Linked DNA regions of Caenorhabditis elegans. The protein of the gene in region 1 purifies or fractionates together with the protein of each later gene. This does not show direct contact. Each region holds a gene or a part of one and is shown in the gene's direction. Other genes may lie near its edges.

Region 1 (8,201 bases):
GTATCGAAATAAATCCAAATTTGACTTTTTTTGTTTCTCGAATTTTTCTTGTCTCAGCTTTGATTGTCAGTTAACTTTTCTTAAAAGAAAACAGTAAAAATAAATCAATATAAAAAATTGGGGAAAACACTCAAAAAGTTGAGTTTGTCTTGACGTGGAAATGAACGGAAGGCAAACATGGACACGGCCCTTGTTTGACACTTTCTTTCGCAATTTCTTCGCCTGACTGTTCATTGTGCATTAGAACAAAGGTCGAAGAGTTCATTGATCCAGATCTTTGGCGTTTTTTATTCGCAAAAATATAGAGAAGATTACTGATACTATAGGGTCAAAACCACTTCTATTTCAAAAAATTTAGAATTTAAACAAATCTTCAAAAGCCAAAAAAAAAAAAAAAAAAGAAATACATTTCCTGTGTACCAACTGAAATCACAACACCCTATTCCACGTGTGTGAAAGTTTAACTATAGACCAGGAAAAACTACATCGACACAGACTGTAAAAGGAAGGAATTATATATTCGGTTGCTTGTCTCGTTGTTCCCATTGTTCCAACGAGGAGAGGGAATAAAAAGTGGCAAGAAAGAATGAGATTTGTTATTATTTTATTATTCGAATGTGAAATGTAGGTGGATAAAATAAAAGTGGTGAAATTCAAATATATCTGAATAATTCAGAAAACTAATTTCTAATACCAAGCTGGTCCACTAATCAATGATAAGCAAATAAAGTGAACTGTTAAGACAATACGGACCGCATGGGAAAGTAAGCAAAGCAGAGCTATACTCAGAGAGACGCAGACACATATACAGAACACAGTACATGTAGATGGACACGTCGATTTTCTTTTCCGTTTTGCGCCAAATATTCATCGGATGAGAACGGGTGTTTAGAGGGGAAGACAACGGAAAATATCACAGGGATTTCGGAGGGAGAAGCATTGAAGAATATTGCAAAGAGCTTATGTTTGTACAGGCGGACAGAGACTATTGCAGTTGCATCAGTAGATACAGTGGAAACATTTTGAAATTAAAATCCACGTGGGAAATCTAACAAAAATTAGAAAATATAACTTTTTTCCACTTCCACGATTTTCAAGGAGGTGCATTTATTTTAGAATGGTCTCGCCACGCATTGCGAACTAACCTAACAAATTAAGGCGCGCCTTTAAGATTACTGATTTTGTTAGCAATTCTTTATCGATTTTTCTCGATTTCCAAACATAAAAATTGGATTTTTTCCGATTTTCGATATTTTCGGCTAATATATACAACTAAATCAAAAGAATATAATAAGAAAGAAACCGGCATTTTGTTGGCGATTCTAATCTAAATGTTCGTGCGATTAGGGAAAAGATGTTTTATGAATTTATTGCGTGTAAGAAAGCGGGTAGACAAGGTCGAACAATTTATAGAGGTTCTTCCCTCCGCCACGTTTGGAATTAGTTATGAGTGGAGGTCACTTTAAACTGGAATTGGTTATTTTGAAAAAGAATTATGGAAATCTCGAAAAAGTTAATAAATTCTTTTTCAGATTTTTTTAAAGTTAATAATGAGAAGTAATTGAAAATTGAATAAAGATTAAAATATGAATAATGAAAATCGAAAATCATTATTTCAAGAATTTCAGTAAGTATAAAAATTCAAATTATGAACTTATTTATCAAAAAAAAAAGGACCCGCAAATACATTAAACAATTTAGACACCTCGTCGATTAATGGATAGATCTTGATGTGGAGTTGTGACAGACATCGGACGAAAGTTTATTGCAATATTTTGAAGTTCAGGGCGAGTCTGTGGAATTTGACAGGAATCCTGAAACAAAATTTTTAGAACACAAGTATGACGTTGTAAATACCTTACCAATGAAATATTTTGATATGTGGGCGTTTGCACTTGTCGTGAGTGTGAAGTTCTGAAGTTTCAAAATTAAAATAATAAAAATCAGCTTACTATCAGAATTAAAAGTTTGATGTTTATCAATAATTCCAGAATGTTTTATGCTAAACTTTTCGGCACTTTTTTTGTAAACTCACAATTTTCTGACTAACACGATTGGCCGTTTGAATTTCAAGTTGGCGAACTTCATAACTTCTACTTCTGCTTCTCTCTCCCATTCGTGAACTCGATCTTTAGTTACCTCTGGCTGCAAAATGTTTTTTAACCTTTTCAATTCTCAAAGATAAAATAAATACTCCATCTCTACATATCAGAAAAATTTGTTTGAATGCTTCTCGGGCGGCTGTCTCTTTTTTGGGATCGTATTCCTTGAATAGCTGAAAATATATAAATTTTTAAAAAAATGTTTATATTGCTCCATACCGTAACTTCATCTTTCGGATGTCTTGTACTCAAATGAAAACGACCTTCTTCTTCAGTGTAAAATCCATCTTTTTTACAATGAAAACAACGGTAGGGGCGATATCTTAATGTTTGAAGTTTTATGAATGCTCAAAAATTTTATTTACATATTTAGTTAAATAATTTGAATTGAAATTCTTACTTTAAATGTGTGCAGAGAACGTGATATTCGAATCCCCTCCAAGTTTTAATAATCGCGTTGCAGTGACAACAATAAGGCAATGCTTTGTGTTCTAAAATGCAAATTTTAAATAGTTGAATTGAAAAAAATTAAACTCACGACTCAAAATATCATCTTTTTCATCCAGATATCGATCGCTCAGGTGTGTTGGATGTGCTTGCATTGTTATTGGAACAACAAAATTCGAACCTGACTAAGAAATGCATTTTTCTTTCGTTTTTTTTAGTGGAGTTGGGGAAAATTTTCATCTCAAACTCAATTTTTCTCACCCTGTGTATAGTCTGCATTCCATTTTTCTTTGCAGATTCCGCGACGGCTACCGTCGTTTCTCGACTTGTCCGTAAACGGTTGTTCCGATGATTTTGTGAGTGGAGGTTATGCGTTTTTTCTGTAAAAAAAGCTTTGCAGAATATTCTTCCATTTTTCATTTTTTCTTTTTTTTTTGAGGGAGAATTCGTTTGAATTGTTTCCTGAAAATTTAATTCCAAGAATTCCAGATTACCGTCGTCAACAGGCTTCCAATTTGACATCGATGCTTGCGATGGATCAATTGTTTTGTTGATCATCTGAAATTGTCAGAAATTATGTTTTTATGAGACAGAAGGAGAGAGAAGGCTTAAAATAACAAAAAAAAACGTTTTATTGAAAAATAATTGAAAAAAAACACTCACTATTCCCTCATTTCCAGATTTTAGGTATCGAAAATCTAATCTATCCTCATTCATCTTTCGCTGGGTTAATATAAACAATAAATTGAGCTTTTAATTTTCTAGTTCATGAGACTGAAAATGGCGAGTGCACAGTTCTGATCGAATAGTGCGCCTGCTAAGAAACGCGCCAACACTGGGTGCTTGACACGCAAAATTGTGGGAATTTGAATTTTAACGAAAATATTTTTCAGTTTTGAACTATTTAATTGATTTAAACAAATATTTTGAACGTTTTTTTGGAAATTGGAAACAAAAACAAAAATATTTCATACCGTGTTTTTAAAGGCGCAGAGTTCCCACATTTTGAAGGGTCTCGCATCGAAATTGAATTCAAAATCTGTTTGTGGCGCGAAACTTTTGTTTCGGAACATGTGAACATTTTCATTTTGCAATTTCTTCTCTTTTCTAAATATCGCCCCCTTTTCTAATCACTGAAATTTCAGAATGTCGGGACGAGATCTCGAACTAACTCTCGATAGAGTATCCAGCATAGAATACCCGGCACTGGTGAAAGAGGCCTTTCTGAATAGTGAGTCGAAAAATGATCAAACAGAAATTTCTCAACTGATTTAGATTGGCACGCTTCAGCTCATCGATCCGAGGTGACTTCAAATTGTGCATCACTCAATGACAGGTACTGCTGGGTTCTGTCTCGAAATCAAATTTTCATTTGGGAGCGGGCGAAGGTGAGATTTAAAAAATAACAATTCTCGAATTAAATTGAACTTTCAGTCGAGCCATCGTGCTATAATCCCCACTCAGCTTCCGTTGCCGACCAGTGGCCTTCCTCGCTCAGTAAAGTGCGTTGTTGTATATGATGGAGTCCACCGTGGTGCAAACAAAACCCCGTGTCCAGGAATTCTCGTTGTCTCACCTGAAGGAGTTCTTCGACATTGGACTTCAATTGAATCTCAAACATACATTGAAGAAGTTTTGGATATCAATAACGAGGTTGCTCTGCGGGTGGAATTGACTGATGAGCCGATCGATGGAAAATCAGCTTCTTTCCTACTGACAACTACATCAGGAACTGTCTATTTTTTGAATGGAAAAGGGCAAGATTCGGCAAAAACGGGTGCATTGGAATGCAATAAAGTAGCTGGTCGAGAAGCACATGGATTCAGAAGACGTCTTTCTTCAATAATGTTCGGAGGAGAATCCAAGGAATCTACGTCACTAATTACGAACAGTTTCCAACATCAATCCAAAGATTTACTGGTTGTAACAGTGTCTCCAGATGTTCTGACAGTTTATAATATGTACACACCATGTGAACTTTGGTCACTGAAAACCAAGGAATTTTTCCAACCAAAGATTGCATCGTTTTTCGAAGCGGACTTGAAGGTTTGCATTTTGCAACTTAAAAATAATAAGTGAATTTCTCAAAATATGAGAATGCTTCAGAGAACTCCACTGAAAGTCCGAGCGAGGTTGATTGATGCAGCAGTCTTCCGAGATGGTCTGATGATTCTAATCGGTGGAACTCATGAAGAGTCTCAATCTGTTCACATGTTCATGGTCTGGATGAGTGCTAACTGGCAAACAGAGCAACCCACCGGAGTAGTTTGGTCAGCAAGAGTTCCAATGAATGAGCATCGCGCCCTTTTTTCGAAGATTGACGATTCGATCTACTCTAATCTGACGTTGTGTATTCCCAAGAATACTGCAGAGTCGAAAAAGGCTGATAGAACAGATGGAATCATTATCATCAATCCCTACTTTGGTACTACATAACAAAATTAATTTAATTTTTGATGATATTTTTCAGCGGTATCTCTATACCTTCCATTCGATTTGGCCAAACCGAAAAAACCGGAAAGTCTATACCGTCATGTTTCCATTCCACCCCGAGATCAACTTCTAGGATATGCAATTTGCTCACAATATGTCTATATTATGATGCTAGAATCCGGTGTCTCTACAATTCGTCTTCTACCACGTGGATTTGCAGACAGCTCGATCTATACACATGAGCAAGTCGTCGTACCATCTCTGTCAGTAGGCACTGATGATTGGCCAATTTTAAGCGAACTCTTGTCTGAAATGGTTGCATCTGGACTTCCGAAGACTCCACTTTATCAATCATTGCATCGGGCTTTCGAGCTTTTCGCAGAAAAACATATGGCAGAGTCGGAAGAGGAATTAAAGGCGATTATCAAAATGCCAGATCAGGAAATTGCTCGTATTGTTTCTCAATTTCTCTACGCAATAATTGATTATTCGGATGCTGCCAACAAAACTGACACTGAACTCCACGCGAAGCGAGTGTTGACATCCAGAATCATGCTTTTCCTGAAGCATATGGGAGTGTATGAAAGAATCATAAGCTCACCCCTGGGAATCAGCAGAGGAGGAATCTTATCGCTACGTGTCGGAGGAACAATGCTGGGAGAAGTAAAAATTTACACTTAGAAAAATAAACTTATTTTCTGAATTTTCAGGTCTCCGAACGTGTCGCTGCATCAACGGCCATATGGACGTGGAAAACTTCAAACGAAACAAATTCTGCAGTTTTCGACGCAATCATCGAGAAAGTTTTGAGAATTCCAGAAGTCCAGGATTTAGGTCTGAAAGATAAAGATGCTCTATTCGGTCGATGTGGACTAGTTCATCATATTCCTGTTGTTGCTGCTCAACAATTGGAAAAAAATGTGATCGGAAAGACGAAATCACACAGATTCGAAGTGTTTCACGCTGTATGTGAACTTCTTTCTGGTATCAAAGAAACTATTATCAGTTGGAGAAAGTATGTTTTGATTTGTTAACAGACTTTAACCATTTGTATGAAAGTTGCAGAACGAAAGTTGCTATTCCTAAGTTCCCTATTTGGTGGACTCTCGAAACTTTTGCATCTTGTTATCGTGATGTTGCTGAAAAGATCATTGAGGAATTGAAAAATGGATCATCTACTGATAGTGAGAGAGCAAGACTTTTGATGTATATTTTGAGGTAAGAAAGGAAATTTTCTGCTTCGAATATTTCCAAATTAATAAATTTTAGCATCTACGATTTCTACCTGTCTGAAAGTGACTCTCAACCAGACAACGACAAAGTTTTGCAAGAAATGATCGCTCTTGGAAAGCCAGCAGACGCTATGGAACTGGCAGAGAAACACAAGGACTTTGGAACGTTAGTCAAAAATTATCTAACGACTGATGTTGGCACTCGGCAGAAGACTTTTGAAAGATACAAGAAGATGTTCGAAAAAGACGATTTCGAGATGTATCTATGTGATTATCTGAAAGAGCATGGACGAAATGATGTACTTTTGCAACAAGGTGGAAGTCGAGTGGATGCTTATTTGGATAACTTCAAAGAATTAAGATATTCAAGAGAAATTGCAAATAAACAGTTCGGAAAGGCGGCCCTCACTTTGATGAGTCTTGCTGATGCAGAAACTAAGAGCTTCTCAAAATTTGTCGAGTTTCTAACAAGAGCATATTATTGTGCATGTTCCAGTATCGATGGAACAGATGTTTCAGAGGTTCTCGACTTCTACAAACGACGATATCCGGAGATGAAGCATCGTAAACGTATTCCGACCGAAATATTGAAAATATGCTTCGGCAACGATTTGGATGCGATGATGTCTGTGGAAGATATGCTCGAATGGAATATGGCTGTCCAGCCGAATGATGAAGCTTCGGTTGAAGGGTTCGCAAGAGCATTCCATTTGTTAGCTGATCTTCTTGCTGTGCATCCGGATTCGGATGAATTGAAAAAGAAAATTGATAAGACGTGGAAAGCATTAGTGGATTATGACGAGTGGAACCGGGTTAGAAGCAAAGAAGATGTGGAGAAAAAGACAATTTTCGGAAAATTCTGCAACTATTTGATCAATTCGTATCCTGCTGACAGTAAGTATCAACAGAAAAAAAAACATGAACAAAAATTCATTTTACAGAAGGTGATTCTTTCCCAATTTGGATGCCAATATCTCGTCGTCTGATCTTCCCAACCGATATCGACACAGTTCTCGATGAATGTATCGCGAATACGACTGGAAATCATCTTTCATGGATCAAAGGTCATCTGAAATGGATTGGAGAGCAACTTTGTAAACAGGCTCTTCTACCAAAATCGGCATTCTTCCGTCCGGATATGAAACAAGTTGGATCGATTTCTCAAGCAGCTCTCGAAGCATTCGGTCCGATTTTACAACGAAGAGAACAACGATTTATTGATCAGTTGAATCGTGATTCGATGATGGAGACTTGATTATTTTATATTCTTCATTTTTTGTTTTGTTTTTTATTTTACCATTTTTCCCGATTTGTATATGATCTCCACGGTTGTTATTATTATTATTTTTCAAGTTTTTTTACCTAACTTATTGATTTTTATACATATCTTTAACGTGATGTTTCCCGTATAAAATCAGAGCTCTTTTTTATCTTAAAGTTTTACTAAAACCGAACATCGTAACTTATTCGATGAAAATTTTACTTATTGTTCTCAAATATATTTTCTCAACGAGTAAGTCGGTCTCGAGCAATCAGGTGTTTCATTTTGTTGTTTTTAAGGTCTCTGTGCCAACTGTTTTTGTGATTGTTTACTCAAAAACTACTAAACTTTAGAAGTAAATTTGTTTCAATTTTGGCAAATCCCCGATATCGAGCCCGATTCCTTTTTTAAACTGAAATTGTTTAGATTTCGCAATCACATAGAAATTATTGAAAAATTCGAAATTTCACGAAAAAATGTAATATGCTCACATTTTCCAAAACTTTATTTCCATGTAATTCAAAGTAACTTTTATTTTTCGGGAAAATTCGAAAGAAATTAATTCTGCGAAATTATTTTGTTTTCGAAAATTATCAGAATCTCAACAAACATGTTCAAAAGATTTTTCTGATTTTCCGAATTTAATTTAGTTTTTAGCAGTGAAATTCAATTAAAAAAACTGGTTATTTTCGTAAAAGTTTTCATAATTGTCATTTTCTTATCATC
Region 2 (6,191 bases), on another chromosome or scaffold:
ATTGCAATGTTTCTGAATGTGTTGTGCACTGATGTTCCAAATACTGGTAGACTTTAACTACGTGGCCGTGGAAGCAGAAAACTCGGCCACAATCATAGAATGGAAACATTTTCTTATATTTTATTCGTACGTAGGTAGACAGGCATGAAGCAGACAGATAACAAACAAGCCGGCAAGGTCCAAAATAGGCGTATAGGCACGTAGGTAGGCATGAAAGGAATGTAGGCAAGTAAGTACGCATACAGGTAGGCATGCGGTGGGCAAGTAGGTAGGTAGGTAGGATAGGTACTTAGGTTGGCATGATCTAGGCAAGTCAGGCGAGAAGCATATAGTAGGCGAATAGTTAGGCAGGTATGAAGTAGGCGTGTAGAAACATATATAGGCATAAGGTTTGAGTGTAGGCAGGCAGGCATGACGTAGGCGTCGAACTGTTTCCGTTTACCTATGCTCATTCCAAATGACAAGTGAGATCTCCCAGCTTCATAGAAATTCAGATCATTCCATCAGTAGTATAATCCCCATTGACTCGTTTATTATAAAAACTCAGAGACCACTAATAAATAAGATGCAAATCTCATTTTAAAATGCTCTTTTTCATTCCGTTTTTTTTCTTTTGATTCGAAGGGAAATATAATTATGGAAATGGCCGAGAAATGTATATAGTGTTGTAAAGGAGCAACTTTGTCTTAAATATAGAATTTACAATTAATATTAATTTCGGTGGCCTGAGACAAAATGTGATTATGAAAATGTTGAGCTTTCAATTCTATTAGCGCTGCACACGTTTCCATTTTTAGAACTCATTAAAAATCTCAAAAGCATTGAGAAGAGATAGAGAAAAAAGAAAACATCATCATCATCATCAACACATCCTGTAGAGTGCTTTTAAAAGGAAAGAAGAGAGGAAGAAAAATGTGAAAAAGAAGCGTCGAGAGCAACTTGTTGAGTGAGTGAGGGGGGCACAGAAGGATCACATCCAATTAGGATTGAATGAATGCTGTCGTACACACAAGAAAGTGGAATGGAACGATGAGTAGAATAAAAAAAGAAAAATGATGGAAAGGGATGCACTTGGGACACATTGCCGAAAAAAAAACGAATCGTTGCTATAATGTTCTTCCGCTAGTCTTCATAGATCCCGTTGCCAGGTGACCTCGTCTCCAAAAACTTTCTTAAATTTCGAAATCGGAGAATGTGTACTCCACGAGAAGAAGAGTGTGCGAAAATTGCAAATTTTGCAACCTCCGCACGGTTATGAGAATGAGAGCTCAATGAACCTTGCGGAGGTTGCAAAATCTGCAAGTTCCGCACGGTTATGTGGGTGTGGCCAATACCATCGTTTTCTATTCTCAATTTCTGTTATTACGTGGTAGTCTAAAGATGAAAGTTTTCGGGTCTCACCACGCTGAAATTGGGTTACTGTAACTGGACCAATATTGTGCCATTTTTAATATTATATTCAAATTCTTGACAGCAATTTTCGATTAAATCTGAAAATTATGATACTATGCTACCCGTAAATGGAGACGAGTTACAGTAACTCGGCGTGGCGAGACCTAAGATTTTACGAAATTTTCCCAATTTTGACGTCTACGTAATAATTCCCTCTATCCCAAAATTTGTTTTGTAACAGTACGGAAATTGTAATTTCCGTACGGTTTTATGGGAATCACAGTTTGAAAGTTTCAGTTCAAAAATCAAAATCTCATCTTCTAAGAGGCGGGGCGAAAACACCAAATTTGACGCGCAAGTTTGACTACATCATCAGGTCGCCACTTCTGCTCCAGTCAGAACCAACCACATTTTCTGAAAATAAATTACATCCGGTTCGGTCCGAAAACTAATATTAAATACAATTTTCATTCAATTCATCATCTTTTGGTTTTTTTTCTTTCTCATTTTGACCAACCCGCAAATATTATACGACACAGGGGGCTATATAGTCGTGCGCGACGAAACATTTTTCTTTCCCAAAAAAGGAATGAATTCTCATTTTATTTGATGAAGAGGCGGGAAGAAGCTCTCCGAACGTTGTGCTCTGTGTGGTCAACAAAAAAAGGTCGACGACACAGAAAAGGAATTTAATTAAATGGGGGACCCCGTCGTCGTGCATTTCTCAATTTTCTCCGTTTTTTTTTGCAATTAAAACGAGGAGGAGTGAGAAGAAACGAGTGGTGCTCGTTGAAATTTGAAAACGAAAATTAGACGAGGGAGTAGGTCAAAGGGAAATAAAAACAAAAACATCTGAAATGTGTAATTAAATTTCTAGAATTTTTTAGAATTCAATATTTTATGGATAGGTATGTACTATAGGGGTCGGCGGTATTATACAGTAACCCATACACGAATTTCACTTTTTTCAGTGTCTAGTGTTGAAGAAAAAAAATCAAAGTTCAAACAGAAAATCGACTTCATCAAAATTACAAAACATCCGATCAGAGAAAAAAAATTTTCTCTTTATTTCCCGCAGAAAACCTCCCAGCAAACTTTCACCACAAAAACCCTATTTTAAACTCCCTCCATTTTCAAGTCCGCAATTGCGCGTAGCTTTGCGTGTTTTGTCGTTGCGGACTTTGATTTTTCAAACAAAAATGTTTTTTCTTGGAACTTTTCGAACCTGTTTTCCACTTTAAAAAAGCGGTATTTTTCAATTCTTTCTTTATTTTAAATTTGAAAAACTTGTTTATTGCTTAAATTTTTAATTAAAAAGCATTTTATTTCGAAATTCAGGCCATGTTCTCGCATCTTAACCAAAATACATCCGGAAGGCATAACTCAATGGATCTCAACAATTCTAGTATTTCAAAGTGAGTAATTTGTTTCTTATTTTGCAAAAAAAAAACCAGTTTTTAATACTAAAAATCTAATTTTAGCTTCGGGACACCAGTTGAACAGTCTACGCCGGCACTTCTTTTCGGAAAGCGAAAGGCAACTGTTCCATCTTCGTGTAAGTAAAGTTTATCTTAAGTTTTCTCAAAAATATGATAATTATTTAGACACCGCTAGCCCGCTCAACACTGCATCGGCACCATGTTCGGATATTTTCGCTGTTTCTGCACCGGCAGTGCCGCAGCATTTGAAGGATACACCGGGCTCTAAATCAGTTCATTGGTCTCCATCTTTGGTGCAATCTGGTGAAAAGTCGGCGGCACAAACACAGAATACACCTGCCAACTTGTCTTTCGGAGGAAATTCATCATTTTCGGCGCCGACAAAGCCAGCTCCTCAGTCGATTCAGACATCATCTTTCGGTGGTCAAGCGATGCATGGTTAGAATTTACATTTTTTCGCGAATATTTAAAATAAAATTGATTTTCAGCACCACCTCTTCGATCTCTTCGCGACAAAGTTGAACCAGCGAAAAAGATCTCCAGACGAAATACATTCACTGCCAGATCAACACCACTTTCCACTCCAATCACTCAACGAGTCACATCCAGGTTGGCTGAAGCAGAAGAACAACCAATGGAAGAAGAAGCCGACGCAGCTGATACCTGGGTCACTGTTTTTGGATTTCAGCCAAGCCAAGTGTCGATTTTGTTGAATTTATTCTCGCGGCACGGGGAAGTAGTTAGTCATCAGACTCCATCAAAAGGAAACTTCATACATATGCGCTATTCGTGTGTCACACACGCTCAACAAGCTATTTCTCGAAACGGAACTCTCCTCGATCAGGATACATTTATTGGAGTCGTTCAGTGCACAAATAAGGTAAGTAAAAAGGATATATTTATTTTTTATTTTAATTTTAAAATTTACAGGACGTGATCAACGGCTCAGCATCCGGAATTGTTGCTCGATCATCTAACATTGCTGCAGCTGCAAACCGATCTGCTTCCATGTATAACTCATTTGTGGAGAACGATATGGCCGATCAATCAGTTAATCACAATGAGAACAGTGTGCTCAACTCGTCGAATGTTTTTGATGCAAATAACTCGCTCAAGTATGATTAGAAATTTTTAGTAAAAAATTCATAAAAATCTAAATTTTATACTTGAATCTGCTAAAGCGAAGTTTGTAGTTTGTAGTCTAGCGCTACTCCACTTTGAAAATGTGAAAAAGAAAAAGTTAATTTTTCACAATTCAATTAATATTTCCACAAAAAATTGTTTATGTTTTCAGTTCTTCTCGTATTTCCGTCCGTTCTGGTGTCGGAATGAGACCATTGGCTGCCGATCAAAGAACAAACGTAAGCATTTCATTGATTCAATCCTTCTAACCAATTAAAAAAGATTTTACAGGGAACCCCATCGGTTCGCAAGGCACCTGACGGATTGCTCAACAAGTTCTGGAACACGATCGGACTCAACTAATCTTTTTGCTCATTGGAAATATCGCCCATTTTTCTGTTTTATTTCACCATTTTTTTCTTTTGTTGTGTATCCTTCTTTTTCGAATTTCTGAAAACAGTTTCGTTTCTCACGGTTTTTCGTTCTCAAAATAATTTTATTTATTTCGGTGTATTCTCAATTTTCGGACATTTTTCCTTCCCTTCTTCCCGTCCATTCCATTCCCATTCAAAACTGATTCTATGAATTGAAATGAAGAAAACTCATATTTTTATATTGTCGATTATAGAAGACGAGTTGCTAATACTCGAAAAAAATATTTTTTCAAAAAATGAGGCTTTATTGACTGAAAAACATCGATTAAACAAATTCACTTCTATGAGTTTAAAGAAGGGCGCATTATTGCAGAATGGTCTCGGCACGAATGACATTGAAAATTGTGTGTGGGTGTGTGCCTTTAAAAATACTGTAGAGATTCTTTTATCGATTTTTCTCATTTTCTTCAATTTTTAATTTCAGAAAATTATTTACAATCGATGAAGTTTTTTTTAAATTTAATTTTTTTTATAAAATTTAATTTTAAAAAACCCGTTAAAAAAAAATTATTCAAATAATTCTTTCAGTTCCCAATGAATCTTCCCCCAGACGCCCTCCACGAAAATGTGTACGCATTTGCTCTTGCACGAGATCAAGTCGAATCATATTGTAATCAATGCCTTACGAGTATGGCAGAACTCAAAAAGTGCAGCGCCTGCCGACGGCTTGCTTATTGCTCACAAGAATGTCAAAGAGCTGACTGGAAGCTGCATAAAGTGGAGTGTAAAGCTATTAAAGTAGGAGATTTCATGGTTATATTACAATTTATTTCTAATATTTTCATATTTCAGACTCATAATGAAGTTGCGAACGACTCGATTCGACTCGTAATGAGAATTGCCGGAAAGTTGAGCAGAAACGAAGATGGAGAAATAGAAGCCTACTATATTCCGGGTGTTGCTCGCAATTTTCAAAATCTCGAGCATCATCCATCATCATATGACGCCGATGAAGAGTCTTTTGTAAAAGAATACTTTCAATTTGCGATAGCTCCCCATCCAGATCGAGATTTGATCAAATTGATATTCCAAAAAGTTTCGATAAATAGTTTTGTAGTTGGAAACTCCACGGGAAATCCAATCGGTGTTGGATTGTGCATTAAGCTGAGCGCAGCTAATCATTCCTGCAAACCATTGACTCGAGTTTGTTATAGGTAAATGCCATGAAATTTTTAGATTTTTAGGTTTTTGCCGACCGGCGCCGGTCTCGCCACGACAAGTTTCGGTTAAATTCAATTTTTCGTAGTTTCTAGGTATAAAATATAGTTATTTAATGTTTTTTAAACTTTTATAAAACGATAAAAAAACATAACAAATCGTGAGAGAAACTATGAAAATCCAATTTTACAGAAATCGTACCGCAATGCTGGTTCCAGTTTCAAGTGAACTTCCTTCAACACTGGAAGGTGCTTGTCATTCTTATATAGACGAACTAATGCCAAGAGATATGAGAAGAGATACATTAAAAGTAGGAGATTACAGGAGGTTCAACACACCCTGAAAAAAACCTCAAAATTTCCAGAAAAAATACAAATTCCTGTGCCAATGTGATGGTTGTCTTGATGAAGACCGAAACGCACGAATGGAAGCCTGGACTTGCGGGATTTGTGTGAAAGGATGGATGAGAAACAAGGAAAATGGTCAATGTGAACTGTGTGGCTGGACAATGAGCAAGGATCATTTTGAATTGTGTCGAACGGCAGAGGAAGCTGGCATCGCCGCACGTTCGAGACTTGCGAATGATGCGATTCCGTTGGAGACGAAGAGAAATTTGTGTGAAAAATTGTTAGATCTATTTCAAGAC
Region 3 (9,545 bases), on another chromosome or scaffold:
AAGTTTTTTCTGAAATTTTCAAAAAAAAATCGAATATATTTGTTATTTTTGTATTTTTCTTGGGAAAACTGTGTGTTTTATTAGTAATTTTTCGGTAAAAATGCGTAAAATGTCAAGCGAAAACGACGAAAAATTAAAATTTGAATTTCTCGAAATTTTCTGAGAAAAATACGTTTTTTTTCTAGAAATTTCGGGAAAACATTAATTTTTTTTTGAGTTTTTGCAGAAAAATGGTAAAAAATTGCAAAAATTCTACAAAATAGCGAATTTTCACGATTTTCTGTGGAAAAAATTGTTTTCTGAGATTTCCGAAGCTTCTGTTTAAAAAAAAATAATTTTCGTGAAAATATTGATATTTTTGAGTTTTTGCAAAAAAATCGTTAAAAAATTATAAAAATAGCGTGTTTTCAAGATTTCCGGTGCGAAAAAACAATTTTTTAAAAAGAAAAACGTTCAAAATTTGAAAAATGCCTATTTTTCACTGCAACTTTTTCCTCACGAGGGACGAGGAAAAGTGGTTTCTAGGCCATGGCCGAGGGGCCGACAAGTTTCAGCGGCCATTTATCTTGCTTTGTTTTCCGCCTGTTTTCTTTCGTTTTTCATCGATTTTTTTCGTTTTTTCTTAATAAAACTGATAAATAAATATTTTTTGCAGATGCTAAAACAATTTCCATGTAAAAAAATTATGTATTCAGTGGGCAAGCAGCGATGAAAGTGGTCAATGTAAAATAATGGATTACGGGAATACAAAACCTAAACTTTTTCTGAAACATGATACATATGATGCTTAGATGCTGAAATTACCTGATTTTCATAACGAGACCGCTGAAAAAGTTTTGAGGTTTCCACAATTCAACTTTTTTGGTAAAAAAGTCGAGATTTTCGCACAAAAAATTGAATTTTGAAAACCTCAAAACTTTTTCAGCGGTCTCGTTATGAAAATCAGGTAATTTCAGCATTTAAGCAGCATATGTATCATGTTTCAGAAAAAGTTTAGGTTTTGTATTCCCGTAATCCATCATATTGCATTGCCCACTTTCACCGCTACTTGCCGACTGAATACACAATTTTTTAACTTGGAAATTGTTTTAGCATCTGCAAAAAATATTTATTTATCAGTTTTAATAAGAAAAAAACGGGAAAAATCTGTGAAAAAATAAAAGAAAACAGGCGGAAAACAAAGCAAGATAAATGACCGCTGAAACTTGTCGGCCCCTACCACTATTCCTCGTCCCTCGTGAGGAAAAAGTTGCAGTGTTTTTCGGTTAAAAACCTCGAATTTCCGAGATTTGTCGATTTTCTTCGGAAAAACTATGTACTTTAACAAATTTACAGGGATTTTTTTGGAAAATTTCTGGAATTTTCCAACTTTCTCGCAAAAAATTTAAAATTATCGATTTTTTGATAATTTATCTATCAAATCAAGTGGCAGAAAGGAGAAAAACAATAAAAAGGGCAGTCCGCACGTGCAGAATTGAAGAGAAAGAGGACCTCAGCCAGGGTGAGAGAGTGTAGAGGGTGTGGAGACGCAGACACTGAAAGAAGGGGGTTCAGAGATGTGGAGAGTGCAGAGATGTTGGTGTGATGAAGACTTGGCAGTGTGCCAAATGATATTTTTTATGGAATATGATGCAATTGTGCTCTGTTGATAATTTTTGGGGTGGCAGGATTCTTTTGGGGGAAATTATTGATTTTTTTTTTCTTTAAATTTGATTTTTCTATAAAAAAAATTGGATTTTCTATAAGAATTTAGATAAATAATAGTTTTCTTATATTTGCTTTAATGATTTTTCGGCACAAATAACAGATTTTTTCAAAAAAAAATTTTTTTTTACTTTTTGGGGATTTTTATCGGAAATTTGAAAAAAACTGAAACTTACGATTTTGATGCTTCTTGAAACTATTATTTTTCGAAACTTTTTTCAAAAAAATTCTGGAAATTATTGATTTTTGTCCTAAAAATTTTTAAAACCCCGAAATTCTATCGAAAAATAATTCAACATTTTTAGATTTTGCGTGAAAACTCTGTTAGAATATCGACTTTTCTGTCAATTTTCAATTTTTTTCCGCAAAAACTGCCAGAATTTCCTCAAATAGTTCATTTTCGATTGAATTTCCAAATTAATCCGAAAAATCGATAATTTTTTGATTTTTAACTGGATTTTTCGATAGAAACGTTAACTTTGCTGACTTTCTAAAATTTTTACAAAAAAAAACATTTTAAAAAACGTTGGAAAACACATAAAATTCGAGTTTTTCGGCTGGAAATTGGGGAAAACACAAAAAAAAACAAAATGTTCTACAGTAACCTTGAAACTGCGCGTCGGGTTAGATGCATTGATACGCAATTGCGTACAATGCATTTTACTTGCCGCGCACACTTTTTGGAATTATTTTCAGCAAAAATTGCAATTTTTCAAGTATTTCAGCGAAGAAATTGAAAAAAATAAGATAATTGCAAAAATACAAGCGGGTTTTAAAGTTTTCTTTTTAAAAATCTCAAGTTTCTCAATAAAAATATAGAAAACATGTTTTAAAACAGGAATAAGCGAAAAACTATTATAATTTATTGATTTTCGCCTCCAAATCACGCTAGAAAATCAAACTGATGATCATGACAGAAAGAAATGATCGTAAAAATTGCGCTGACGACGTCACGCGACCCGCAATAAGACACACGGAGGCTAAGCACAAAATATAATGTGTTTTTTTTTCATTTGAATCTTTTTTTCAGACTTCAAAGTACGGCGTGTTGATATTGATGATCAGAAGAAAAAATCAAAACAGAAGAAAAAACAAGGACAATATAATTAAGAAAGTTGTTTTTCAGAACTTTGATCTTTTAATCTGTGTTGAAAGGTTCCCTGAGTTGTTTTTGATTTAAAATCTTAAAAAGTAGAACTAGAAATTGTTATTTTTATCAAATTATCAACAATTTCCCATTCGAATTCTCCAGGTTTCCATCAATTATTATTTTCTCGTGATTAAATCCACGTTCCTTGGCGCACGAGAAACACGCCAGCTATCGTTTGCTGGCGCGTTTCTCGTGTTGACGCGTTTCTCGATCGTTCCAACTTGCAATTTTTAAATTCAATTTTTGCCGAAATTCACTCAATTTTTAGCGATTTTTTTCGAAATTTCTAGATTTTCAGCTGAAAAATGACCACGGTCCGCCAGAGAATCGATACACAACATCGTGACGCAATTGTAAGTCGGAAAATCTGAATTTTAGCTAAGAAAATCTATTTTTTTTTTTTAAATTCTGAAAAATTGCAGCACGACGCTCAGCTCAACATCTACGGAAGCCGACTCGCCACGTGTGGATCTGACCGTCTTGTGAAGATTTTTGAGGTCAGGAAAGGCGAAAAATCTTGGATTTTCTGCAAAAATCCCAGAATTTTCATAATTTCAACGCAAAAAAAAATATAAAAATATTACAGGTTCGCCCAAATGGCCAGTCATATCCGATGGCGGAGCTTGTCGGACACAGTGGTCCCGTTTGGAAAGTCTCATGGGCTCATCCGAAATATGGAGGACTTCTTGCCTCCGCTTCCTATGATAAGTACGGAATATTTGGAAAAAAAAACGGAAAAATGATCAAAATTTGCTAGATTCGATCAGAATTTCATAAAAATACGCTAAAATCTCTGTTTTTAATCGGTTTTCAGCTCATTTTTTGGGTTTTTTGCCAAAAATTGGTTAAACAGAGTGATTTTGGAAGAAAATGGACACAAATATTGAAAAATGCAGCCTATTTCTGAAATTTCAATGAGTTTGATCATTTTTCACCGATTTTACGCTATTTTCCCTTTAAATTCACGGATTATTTAAAGAAAAATCAGTATTTTCGGTCAATTTTCACAGTTTTTTTTTGAATTTCAAGCCTAATTTCCCTCAAATCCACCAAAATTTTAAAAACTTCAACGGGTTTTATGAAATTTTTACCGATTTTCTGCAATTTTTTCCCGAATTTTAGTCGATTTCTGCCCCGATTTTTGTAATTTTTATCGATTTTATTCAATTTTCATAGTTTTTTTTTCGGAATTTTGAGCCAATTTACCCCCCAATCCAACGTTTTTTTCTGGAATTTCCATGAATTTCAGTAGTTTTTCACGGGTTTTTTGCAATTTTTAGCTCATTTTGCTCTAATTTCAGGCATTTTTCATCAATTTTCACAGATTTTCAGCCAATTTTCCCCCAAATGAATCGATTTTCTTTCCAGAAAAGTGATAATCTGGAACGAACAACAAGGCCGCTGGCAAAAAGCCTACGAATGGGCCGCTCATGAGGCCAGTACGACTTGTGTGGCCTTTGCACCACACCAATATGGCCTAATGTTGGCTTCTGCCTCTGCTGACGGTGATATCGGTATTCTTCGATACGACAATTCGAGCAACGAATGGATTTCGTCGAAAATTCAGAAATGTCATGAACAAGGAGTTAATTCAGTGTGTTGGGCACCTGGAAGTGCTGATCCGGCGGCAAAAAAACGTCTTGTTTCAGCTGGAAATGATAAAAATGTCAAGATTTGGGCTTTGTGAGTAGAGAAAATGCACTGAAAATCGATTTTTTAGATTTTTTAGATTTTTTTTGACCCGAAAAACGTGAAATTTTGACGTTTTTTCGATGGAAAATACAAAAACCGCAATTTTCTCAGGTTCTCAAAAGTCAGATTTTTTGTAAGCCTAAGCCTAAGCTTAAGCCTACGCCTACGCCTAGGCCTAAGCCTCAAATTGCCAAAACTTCTCGGAAAAAAAGTCGTAAAATTTTACTTTTTTTTCAGCAAAATTGGCAGATTTTATGAAATTTTCCCAAAAAAGTTGTATTTTTGATCCAAAATTTGTTTAAAAATCACAAATTAGTGCAGTTCTTACCGGAAATTTTTGAAAAATTCAAATTTTTCCCTCAAAATTACCTGATTTTTTGCTAAAATCACAAGAATTTCTGAGATTTTTCCCCTGAAAAAGTCAGTTTTTCTGGGATGAAAAAATTCGCAAAATAAAAATTAAATTCGGATTTTTTTTAAGGCCTAAGCCTTAGCCTAAGCCTGAATTCCAGAATTAAAAAAAATTTCCTTCTGAAAAATCAATGAAAAAATTGTTTTTTTTTCTGAAATTCTCAAAATTTACAATGTTAAAGTTAAAAATTCGACCCAATAGCGTATTTTTTCACCGAAAATTCTCAAATTTCTTAAATTTTCACCTGAAAAATCCCATTATTTTGCCAGTGACGACGCGAAAAACGAGAAAAAATGGAAATTTTTCGCCAAAGTTCCAGATTTTTCTAGAGTTTCCTTTGAAAAATCCTTTTTTTTGACAATTTTTCCGTGAAATAACCCATTTTTTCACAGTTTTCCATCAAAAAAGACTAAAAATCCGACCATTTAATAAATTTCTTTCTAAAAAATTGTAAAAGTAAAAGCGAATTCTACCCGAATTTCAGATTATCGTGTTAAATTCAAAATTTCCAGGTTTTGGATATTTTTTAACAGATATTTGTCGAATTTCCTGGATTTTCCCCCTGAAACATCCAATTTTTCGGTTTTTTGATTAAAAAAAAACTGAAAAAATCACTCAAAAAATAATTTAAACTTGAAAATTTGTCCCAAAAGCTGTTTTTTTTGCAAAAAATTCTCAAATTCCAGATTTTTCGCAGTTTCATTTCAAAAAACCCCCAAAATCGGAAATTTTTATTAATCTTTTTTGCTGAAAAATCAGAAAAAAAGTATATTCTTTCGAAATTTTTGTCGAATTTCCTGAATTTCCTCTTGAAAAATCCATTTTTTGACAATTTTTCCGCGAAATTACCCATTTTTTTACAGTGACGACGCGCTACAAACAAAATTGTTGGTGAAAATTCGAAAAAAAAAAAAAAATTTCCCCATTATAATGCAGAAATTTGGGTTCGCTTTGGAAAATCCCAATTTTGAAGCTGCCCAAAAGCTGATTTCCCACTGAATTTTGTCGAATTTATTGGGGTTTCTCACTGCAACTTTTTCCTCACGAGGGACGAGGAAAAGTGGTTTCTAGGCCATGGCCGAGGGGCCGACAAGTTTCAGCGGCCATTTATCTTGCTTTGTTTTCCGCCTGTTTTCTTTTGTTTTTCATCGATTTTTTTCGTTTTTTCTTATTAAAACTGATAAATAAATATTTTTTGCAGATGCTAAAACGATTTCCAAGTAAAAAAAAAATGTATTCAGTGGGCAAGCAGCGGTGAAAGTGGGCAATGTAAAATGATGGATTACGGGAATACAAAACCTAAACTTTTTCTGAAACATGATACATATGATGCTTAGATGCTGAAATTACCTGATTTTCATAACGAGACCGTTAAAAAAGTTTTGAGGTTTTCAAAATTCAATTTTTTGTGCGAAAATCTCGACTTTTTTACCAAAAAAGTTGAATTGTGGAAACCTCAAAACTTTTTCAGCGGACTCGTTATGAAAATCAGGTAGTCTCAGCATTTAAGCAGCATATGTATCATGTTTCAGAAAAAGTTTAGGTTTTGTATTCCCGTAATCCATCATTTTACATTGCCCACTTTCACCGCTGCTTGCCCACTGGATACATAATTTTTTAACTTGGAAATTGTTTTAGCATCTGCAAAAAATATTTATTTATCAGTTTTAATAAGAAAAAACGGGAAAAAGCTGTGAAAAACAAAAGAAAACACGCGGAAAACAAAGCAAGATAAATGGCCGCTGAAACTTGTCGGCCCCTCGGCCATGGCCTAGAAACCACTTTTCCTCGTCCCTCGTGAGGAAAAAGTTGCAGTGTTATTGGGGTTTCCTAAGAAAAATTCATTTTCTTAATGACAATTTTCCTTCGAAATCACCAATATTTTTTCCTCCAGTGACGACGCTACAAACGAATGGATTCTCGAGAAAACCCTAGCCGGACACACAGATTTTGTACGTGAAGCCGCATGGTGCCCGGTAACAAATAATGGACAACATACAATTGTTAGCTGTGGAATGGAGGGAAATTTGGTACTTTTCCGTACTTCAAATATTGAAACTGAAGAGTGGAAGGCGAAATTATTGGAGACGGCTCCGTGTGCATTGTACCATTCATCATTTTCTCCGTGTGGATCATTCCTTTCAGTTGCTGGCGATGATAATGTGGTATGGAATCGAGGATTTTTGTGTGGAATAATGTGGAAATTGGCACCGAAATTGGGAAAATTATGGATTTTTTACGTCAAAAATGGCACAATTTTTGAAAAAAAAAAGTGTACAAAAACAGCGAAAATCATCGCTTCAAAAACGGAAAATTGTCACATTTTTAGCAAAAATCGCTGAAATTTTGGATTTTTTAGCTCAAAATTATGATTTTTCGAGCAAAACCTAGAAAATTCGAAAAAATTTGGAAAAAATAGCGAAAAAAAAAAGCATTTTGGCATTAAAAAAAACGGAAAAAAATCTTACCTACCTCTAGCCGCAGTAGGCATGAGGCAGGTGGCAGGTTTTTGTGAGGAAAATTTTGATTTTTTTTTTTTTTTTTTTTTTGGTTTTAATACAACTTCTATCTTTTTTGCCCGGTTTTTCGTAATTTTAGGAAGAATTTTTCAGAATTTTCGTTGAAATTCGATTTTTTCAGGTGATTTTGATCGAAAAATGCTAAAAATATTAATTTTCGAGCAAAACCTGGAAAATTCAAAATTTTGGAAAAAAAAATCTATTGAGAACTGGCAAAAAAGTGGGAAAACAAAAAATTTTTTTTACCGGAAAATTGGCCAAAATCACTTCAAAATCAATTTTTTTTACATAAAAACCGGCGAATTTCGGTTGAAAAGTATCGATTTTTGAGCAGCACATGAAAATTTCAATTTTTATGAAAAATTTGAGAAAAAGCTACCGAAAACTTGCAAAAAAAGCATTTTGGCACGAAAAATCTGAATAAATGGAAAAAAAATACTCAAAAATTCAGAATTTGCAGTAATTTTACTGAAAATGGCGAAAAATTCGAATTTTCCGATCAAATCACCGGAATTAATTGAATTTCAACGAAAATTCTGAAAAATTCGACCTAGAATTACGAAAAACCAGACGAAATGTTCCCGCCTGCCTAATGCCTACACGTGTGCCTACCGTGCCTACAGGTAGGTAGGCAAATCTTCTTAAAAAAGTGCCGTTTCTACAAAAAAAAGCATATGATAAGCTCTGTTTGCAGGCAGGCAGGCACCTACGCCTAAAAACGCTCATTTTCCAATTTTGCAGATCACAATTTGGCGCGAAAATCTTCAGGGACAATGGATCAAAGTGCCACGTGACAATAAGGAACGCGAGGGAATGAGCCAAGCGGTCGGAGCTCCGGGAGCTCAGAGATAAATAAATTATTTATTTTTTTTCGCTGTTTCTACACCCATAATTCCTCTTAAAACTTGTATATGTACCTGTTATTATTGATTTTTTTCCTCATTTACTTCTCCGAATCCAGATATTTTATGATTTTCCTTCTTTTTCTCTCTCAAAAAACTAATGCGAAACCGGGATGAAGTTTTATTTATTTATTGATTTTTTTCGACTAAATTCAGATTTTCTCTTATTTTTGAAAAATTGGTCGCAGTAGCGCAGTCGGTTACGGGCTGGGCTGGGACGCAGAAGACCGGGGTTCGACTCCGCGTGGTGGGAATTTTCTTTATCTTAGCGTGATTGATACTGTTAACAAGCTGAAACTGAGTATAACCTGCTGGAAACTAGTGAAACTTGAAAAAAATCAGTTTTTTTTCGGAAAAATGCGGAACAGTTTTTGAAAACATGATTTTTACAAATTTCCATGCACATGTTCAAATTTCTCGCACAATTTTCGTTTATTTGACACCAATATTGGCTCATTTCCGAGGATTTTTCGAAAAATTGGTTGCAGTAGCGCAGGCGGCAACGGGCTGGGCTGGGACGCAGAAGACCGGGGTTCGACCCCGCGTGCTGGGAATAATTTTTTTCTTGGTTGATACTATTATCTAGCGGAAGTTGACCGAAATTTGTTAGAAATTAGAAATAATCTCGAATAGTTTGGGTTTTGTGTCATTTTTTTGCGGAAAAATGTCCAAAAAGTAAATGAAAATGTGATTTTCATGAATTTTCATTCAAATTTTTGAATTTCTCGCTTAATTTTTAGATAATTTGATGCCAATATCGGGTCATTTTTGAAAAATGGGACGTGGTGGCTCAACTGGGTAGAGGTCTCGGTGAGACTGAGAAGACCGGGGTTCGACCCACGGGGGCGGTTTTCAACTTTATCAGTTTGCCTTAATAGGTTTTATTGTTCTTTTTTGAAGTTGAAACTCAAAATTTCAAAAAAAATTTTTTTGAAAAAGTACAAAAAAATTTCGACTTTTTTAATTTTTATTTTCAAATTTTATTATTTATTAAAACATTAAAAAAAGGGTTAATTAAGAAAAAATCAATCATATCTCGTCGACGAGTATCGCGTCTCGCGTTCCCCATATACAGTAGTCAGAGATTTCGTAGGAATTGGCCGGACCATCCAGCGGCAGAATAGACGTCGGAAACCATGGTTATACGGTTTTATGTAGTATATTGT
Region 4 (6,982 bases), on another chromosome or scaffold:
ATGATTGGAGGATGGCTCACGGGAGCGAAGAAAGCTTTGTGTTCGGATTTTGTTGGGGGCAGACACCGGAAGGAGGACAAGAGAGAGGAAAGAAGAGAGATAGAGAGAACTATAGACAAAATATGATAGTTTCAAATTTCATATAAACATTTTATGACACACATATCAAACAATTGGCAATCAACTAGTAAAACAAGGTTATCACTTTTTGAACTCTCCAAAAATACAGTTGCTCACAATCAGAAATTTTAATTTTGGTATGTAATGTCTATATTGGTTTCTAAATTTTGAAATTGAACATTCAACCGTAATATGGTTTTCAAGAAGAGAAAAATCGAAGAAATTTTTTAAAATACCATGGTTTACCATATATTTTTTATTAGTGATGTACCCAATTGGGTATATCTCGCTTTCTTTTGAAGATATCAATAAACATATAATCACAAAAAAATAGAAAAAGAATTGAAAATTATTTCTTCAATTGACAGTTTTCCAAAAAAACAAAAAACAGCCGAGGAATGAGCAACCAAAGTTGTAGCGCACACCTTTTAGTAAAATCACAAATCAAAAATATTTCAGAGCATTTTGGAATTTTTAAAAATGAAAAGTGTGTGAATTTAGTGATATTATCTATTCTAAAAGCACGCAGTGTAGTCTCCAGAGATACCAAACACGAGATGCATGAAACGAAAATAAATCGAATTCACGCTTTAAATGAACTTACACTTATAGTTCATTTTGAGCATGTATCACCGTTTTGAATTTTGAAAAAAATGGCCGAATAGTTTTTTTTGGGAAAATTAAATGGGACATCGACGTATGAACCAGACGCCAAATTTTGCGATTTTGGCGCCAAAATTACGGTAATTACGGTACGGTCTCGACACGATAAATGTCTGTTAAATGCAGAAGAGCATTCGCCTTTAAATAGAACTGTAATTTCAGAGGCTCATTGCTGCGATTTTATTTTAATCGACTTTTTGAAGTTGTTCGATACCAAATTTAAAATAAATTTATTTTTAAAAAAATTGAAATAAAATAATAGAAACACATACATATAAAACATCGATGAAAATTCTACAGCAGCGACAGTTTGAAATTACATTAATTACAGTGTACTATTTAAACGCGCACACCACTTTACTAACTTTCAGAAATTTGTCGTGTCGAGACCAGATACCTTAATTTTGGCTCAAAAGTTCGCGTCTGGAACAATAGTTCTCTGAAAAAATATATGTAAAGCCAAATGGTACAAATTGAGATTTTTCTGTAAAGTTTACTTTCAATGGAAAGCCTAAAACTAATTGATTTTTAATTGGCATACTATTAGAAATTTGTAAAAATTTTCATTAATTTAAATCTGAACGTTTATCAGCGGCTTTAAACATTTTGAAAATATGCATTAATTTTTTAATAAACGCAAAAAGTTGAAAATATCTGCGTATTTTTTGTTGTAATTCAACATGATGTTCGAAATTCAATACATCTTTTTTTTCTTCTTTCTTATGCTCCTCCTCTCCCACACTATCAAGTTTCGGGGGTCTTCTCTCTCGTTTTTTTTGCAGAACTTGTTCCAAACTCACCTTTTACCATTGCATTTTGTGTTGTCTTTTAACTGAAGTCGGCAGAAAAAAATCCGGTGATCGATTTTGGGAATAGGTGGCGACGATTTTGAAAAGCAGGTATTTAGCGATGAAAATACTCGAAATTAATTTTAACAAATATGATTGATAAACTAAAGATATGAAGCTACTAAATATGGCTCGGTGAGCTGGAAATAGTGGGTGAAGGAGTGGAGAGGCAGAAACAAAGAGAGACGAAAAAGAAGAGGTGCACTACGGCTCCCATGCAAAACTAGCATCTTTTCGTTTTTTTTTTTTGGTTTTCTTGTCGGTTGGTGTAATTGATGTGATGGATTACACTTGAGAAGCCCAAGGAAGGAAGTACCAAAAAAGGGCAAACATTTTTTTACAAGGAATCTTTTTTTTGGTCTATAGTCCCCTTATAAGGACTTTTTAGAGGAGGAGGTGTAGGTTTCTTCCCTAGAAACAGAAAGCAGTCCAACATATTGAATATAACTTTTTAAATAATTTATAGAATTCTCCTGAATTTTTAAAAAAATAACTTTTTCAATTGTTCGAACATAACAAAAATGGACAGGCCGCCAAAGTCCTAGGAGATTGATTGCACAAAGCCGCAAGCTTTTCGTACGAAATAGTGCTCCAGAAATGGTTCCATTCTAGTTATTAAATCAAAACTTTGGTCTATTGTCCTCTCCATATGTTTTTCTCTAATTTGAGTATACAATATACCCTGTTTTGTGTGCATTGAGCCTGTGCATAAGACGAACGATACGAACGGCCCCTCTCCTCCTTACATTCTTATACACAGTCTCAATTCACACAAAACATGTGGTTCAAAGAATATATCCTTATGTAAGTAGCAAACGCAAGCGTAGGAGCACGTATTGATCGATTTATAGACAGTCACAATGCACACAAAACAGATGATTTAGAGGATAGCTGCTACTGGAACGCAAAAATACGATGTGCTTTAAAATAAGAGCTCTCATCAACCCATAACGTCGGCTCTCATTTTTGTTTTTTATAGCTGATTGCACCTTATTAAACAATTTGAAGATGAAAGGCACTACTCGGAAAAGTTTCAAATTGCAATTTCTTCCATTTCTGTGTTTCAAAAAAGTTATGAAAACCTGAATAAACCCCTCTTTTTTGAAAGTCCGCGCATTGTGTTCTCAATGGAGCGCACTACCATTATTTTCGTTTAAGCAAAAATTTTCAAATTTCGAAGGGTTTTCGTCGTGTAAAACGATTTTTTTTTCTGTTTCATGTAGTTTTTAAAACTTTATTTTCCTTTAAAAAAATATTTTTAGCACAATGACAGACTTGTTCGCTTCGGGGGACAATTCTTCCAACTCCTTCGACGACTCTAACGATGAAATCGCGCGCAAAAATGAAACCGCTTTCAAATACACTACAATTTGTGAGTTTAACACTCGATGCGAAAGGAAAACTATTTTAAAAATATATAATTTGCAGTTCACACAAATCTCTCAGAAAAACTGTACCACGAATTATGTGCATTGGCTTTCGGAGAGTTCGATATTCCTCAAGGGCAAATCTCGCCACTTATGTGGACCAGACTTCATGAGGTTTGATTCACTTGAAAAAGGCCTCTGATAAATGTAATATTTTTTCAGATCTATTCAGAAGTAGAAATGCAGACTCGAAAACTTCCTGCAGGATCTAATTATTCCGCCAGTTCACAAAAATACGCGAATGAAGCCGTGCAAATCGCCAGTGTTCTTTCAATTTATACCGCGTTGGCTCATGAATATGATGAGACTGTGGAAGTTTCTTTGCTTAGCAAACTAGTTGTAGAAGATGTGGAGTTTAGAAGGATTTATGTAAGATCTTAGACTTTTTATTCAATTAAACACATAATTTCTAATTTTTTAGGCTCTTCTTCTTTGGAGTGAGAAAGCGATCAGCGAACAGCAATATGAAAAAGGTCTTGGAGACAAAGTTCGGAAACTCGAAGGAATCAAATCTTCTAGAATCAATTCAATGATGGCTTTGAAACGACCAACATTTGGAGCAGCCAATGCTCCAAAAGATGCTTCACTGGATCCAGATGCTCCTGGTACCAAAGAAGATCAAGCTCTCGAGCAAATGGCGATGAACGTTTTCTTCCAATTAATTCGAAGTGGAGAAACTTCCAAAGCTGCGAATTTAGCCATTGATCTAGGAATGGGAGCGATCGGAGCTCAACTTCAGCTTCACTCGATGCTCCGGAACCCACTTGATATTCCACTAGAGGCATCTAAACAGAACTTTGGGGAATATAAAAGATCTCGACGCGCAAAGTACTACCAGATGACACAGAAATTGATAGAACAATCGCAGGGGAGCGAAGATGATGCTTACTGGATGCTGATTTCTGCGATTCGTGGGAATATCCAACCAATGCTAAAAGCTGGAAAGTCAGTGATTGAAAAAGTATGGGCATATGCAAATTCTGCAGTTCTCGCAAGAATTCTTGCCGCCGAGGGAGCCATGACACAGGAAACTATTTCGACGTTGTTCAACGTTCCACTAACTTCAAAATCAATCTTAGATGAGCTGAGATCAGAGGCTGATCGTACCAAAGAAGTATACATCCTACTCCGAGTGATCGATGACATGCTCAATGATGACATTGAAGATCTGTACAAGTTCGCAAATGAAACAGTCGGAGAATTTGTTCCAAATGATAAAAATTGTCAAGTGAACATGCTCGCACTCGACATCTTCTTCCACCTCGTCGCAGTTTCTTATGCGAGTGGTTTCGAACCAAATGACGATGGAAATGCTGTAATTATTCTTGGATTCGATGATCTTCGTGCACGCAGTGGAACCTCATCACACAAGAAAATGGCTGCATTTTATTCAAGATTCCTCCCAGAAGATATGAAGCTTCCAGAGATTGTGGAGACTATGAAAGGTAATTTAAAAACTGATGATGATTTTTAAAAAAATTCTCTTTTCAGCTGTCGATTCTGATGAAGAACGTGAAATCCTGGCTGAGTCGCTGAAACAATCTGACATTGATTTCGGACGCTGTGCGTGCACACTTATTGAGCAAATCAGAAAAGATGACAAAACGAAGGTTGTAACTTTGGAAGAGCAGATTGATCACTGGCATTGGCTTTTGATAGGTGGAGAAGAGACTGCACTGGCTGCTCTTGAAGAATGTAATCGACTAGTTCGTAAAGTGATGCTGTCGACACCGATTGACGAGTCTGTAATTAGGCAAATTATTCGAAAAGCGCTTCATTTCGAAGTTCCTAAGCTATTGTCACAAGCTGTTGAAAATGAAGCAACTGTACTTTCACTGATCACTGATGGAACCCTGTTTGAGCAAAAACCTGGATCGCAGCTGGCAATTAATAAAATCGAACACGCGGCTCTGGAATTTTATGGGCTCTGCTCTTTCGTGGTATGATTTCTTATCCAAATCAGCGGAATCTTTAACCACTGGTTAAAATTACAGTAATCTTTAAAGGTGCAAACCGTCTCGTATTGAACAAAAATTTGTCGTGTCGAGACCCCGTACTCAAAATTTCGCTGCTGAATAATATTCAATTTCATATTGGCCATTTTAAAATCCGAATTTTCAGGATGTGAACAACTTCATGATCACTATTGCTCTGAAACTTGGGCTCATGTTCAAGTACACACCGATCACTGATGATGAGCTTTCCATGATCGGAGGAGTCAAACGACTCGACAACACCACAGCTGCTGACTGGGAAGCTTCACTGAGAGTCCGAGCTCGTGCTGAGCAAACTCTGCGGGAAGAGGTGCTCAAAAAGAGAGCCGCCGAGCATAATACGCGAGTTGGAATGGTTCAACAACATTTAGATGTAGGATTTTTAGAATAAATTGTTGTGAAAAAAATTTTAAAAAATTGAAATTTCAGACTGTTCTTCCGATGCTCCGTGGGCTGGTTAACAATATTGGTGTGCGCCCGGAGTACTTTTTGAGCCCACGTGCTAATGGAGATCCAATGCGTGTACACCGGAAAGAAATTCAGGAGATTCGGAATCTCTTCCTCCCGCAATTCTTCATCCTTCTTGCACAAGCCGCCGTGAGACTCGACGATACCACAAATTTCAACGATTTCTTCACAAGCTTCAATAATGACCTCGGGCTCGATCAGGAATGGATGGTTTTCATCAAAGCTTTCTACGCAGAACTCAATCTCAAAGTCGAATAATTTTTATTTCATTGTTTTTTTGTTTGATACCTGTTTTGATTACCATTTTTTATCACTATATTTCTGACTTCTTTCTCATTTTTTTTAAATTTCCGGTCGATCTTTCACAGACACGATTGTATCCGTGCAGTATTTGAAAATAACAAATTTTTCTGATTTCTGTGGGTTTCACGTGAAGATCTTCTTCAAGAAGAGGTCATCAGATTGCGGAAGATCTATATTACCGATCTGACGCAAGACTACCATGTATATTTGGAAAGGAAAAATTTTCTGTGCAGAGGTTGATGGTTTAAATTTTGATTTAGATATTTTCTTCATTTAATTTGAAAATTTCCATGCCTGAAAATATCCTCAGTGAGGATTCTCACCTACCGTATACTTAAAGGCGCACACCTGTCTCAACCGGAGCGTTGCGAGACCCGCGGCATCAAACTACACACTGTGTTTTGATGATCTTTCGATCGTTCTCGAAAAAAGAAAGAGCAGAGTTCATTAAAACAAATGGCGGCAAAATGTCTATAAAGGCGAGTCGTTCTCTTCATTATCTTTTGATTTTCGATGTGTTCTCCTTATTGTTTTGTTCGTTGACCCCTTATCTGCATTCTCACCGCTACGCAACGTATATTTAACGTCAGCTTTTTCGCAGAAAATTTTTCTATATTCTCATGCAAATTTACTGTTCTCAATGCTGGACGTGTCGCTTGTGCTTTGATCTCAAATCTAACATTTTCCCTTCAAATATTTTATATCTGCAACGGTGGGGCAGAAATTTAAAAGTTGACCTTTGTCAGCCAACTGCTATCAGTTATCAGTTGGCCGGAGATCTTTCTATTTTCACTTTCTTGCAACGTATTCAGACATTTTTTGATGAATCGGTTCACAGAATTTTCGTCCTGATGTTGGTCAGTGATGCGCCAGCCGGAAATTAGAACCGTATGCCGTTATCAATTTTTCAAAGGCTAAAAAGTTATGAGGTGTATTTATTGTTTTAACACCTGACCTGCTAGTAGGAAGGAAATTAATTTTATGTTTAAATTGAAATGAAAGAGTCGAGCTCCACGTGTCGTCTCCCTAGTTTCTCTATTCCTCTTCTTCTCCGCCTATCTCTCGGCTTCTCTCCTTTCGCGCTCCTCTCACAATTCCTCCTAATCGTGCTGTTTTTGGGGTGGTCCAACACGGCAAAAAAGGCAGCAAAAAGTGTCTG

What was found.
Region 2: the proteins of npp-15 (region 1) and npp-19 fractionate together in Caenorhabditis elegans (co-fractionation; one large-scale study listed by BioGRID). This does not show direct contact.
Region 3: the proteins of npp-15 (region 1) and npp-20 fractionate together in Caenorhabditis elegans (co-fractionation; one large-scale study listed by BioGRID). This does not show direct contact.
Region 4: the proteins of npp-15 (region 1) and npp-5 fractionate together in Caenorhabditis elegans (co-fractionation; one large-scale study listed by BioGRID). This does not show direct contact.

Annotation. Positions count from the first base shown.
Region 1 is NC_003281.10:7,925,355-7,933,555, forward strand, and holds npp-15 (Nuclear pore complex protein 15), read left to right. Parts: upstream 1-3,688; 5' UTR 3,689-3,695; coding exon 3,696-3,780; intron 3,781-3,824; coding exon 3,825-3,937; intron 3,938-3,983; coding exon 3,984-4,595; intron 4,596-4,655; coding exon 4,656-4,974; intron 4,975-5,019; coding exon 5,020-5,645; intron 5,646-5,692; coding exon 5,693-5,997; intron 5,998-6,041; coding exon 6,042-6,200; intron 6,201-6,251; coding exon 6,252-7,108; intron 7,109-7,155; coding exon 7,156-7,469; 3' UTR 7,470-7,701; downstream 7,702-8,201. Other genes in the region: C29E4.13 (C2H2-type domain-containing protein), read right to left, coding at 1,698-1,814, 1,863-1,914, 2,036-2,145, 2,195-2,275, 2,322-2,424, 2,503-2,593, 2,641-2,734, 2,811-3,107. UniProt on the Caenorhabditis elegans protein: Important for early nematode development.
Region 2 is NC_003280.10:10,795,019-10,801,209, reverse strand, and holds npp-19 (Nucleoporin NUP35), read left to right. Parts: upstream 1-2,730; 5' UTR 2,731-2,733; coding exon 2,734-2,807; intron 2,808-2,873; coding exon 2,874-2,947; intron 2,948-2,996; coding exon 2,997-3,269; intron 3,270-3,319; coding exon 3,320-3,711; intron 3,712-3,761; coding exon 3,762-3,946; intron 3,947-4,125; coding exon 4,126-4,192; intron 4,193-4,235; coding exon 4,236-4,316; 3' UTR 4,317-4,557; downstream 4,558-6,191. Other genes in the region: set-14 (SET domain-containing protein 14), read left to right, coding at 4,922-5,125, 5,180-5,541, 5,738-5,855, 5,910-6,191.
Region 3 is NC_003282.8:1,489,622-1,499,166, reverse strand, and holds npp-20 (Protein SEC13 homolog), read left to right. Parts: upstream 1-3,144; 5' UTR 3,145-3,159; coding exon 3,160-3,207; intron 3,208-3,276; coding exon 3,277-3,351; intron 3,352-3,440; coding exon 3,441-3,562; intron 3,563-4,222; coding exon 4,223-4,537; intron 4,538-6,852; coding exon 6,853-7,123; intron 7,124-8,218; coding exon 8,219-8,329; 3' UTR 8,330-8,514; downstream 8,515-9,545. Other genes in the region: Y77E11A.16 (Serpentine Receptor, class D (Delta)), read right to left, coding at 9,405-9,545.
Region 4 is NC_003280.10:11,595,721-11,602,702, reverse strand, and holds npp-5 (Nuclear pore complex protein 5), read left to right. Parts: upstream 1-2,893; 5' UTR 2,894-2,897; coding exon 2,898-3,003; intron 3,004-3,059; coding exon 3,060-3,172; intron 3,173-3,220; coding exon 3,221-3,427; intron 3,428-3,479; coding exon 3,480-4,503; intron 4,504-4,549; coding exon 4,550-4,998; intron 4,999-5,179; coding exon 5,180-5,425; intron 5,426-5,481; coding exon 5,482-5,778; 3' UTR 5,779-5,936; downstream 5,937-6,982. UniProt on the Caenorhabditis elegans protein: Involved in kinetochore assembly and chromosome segregation during embryonic mitosis.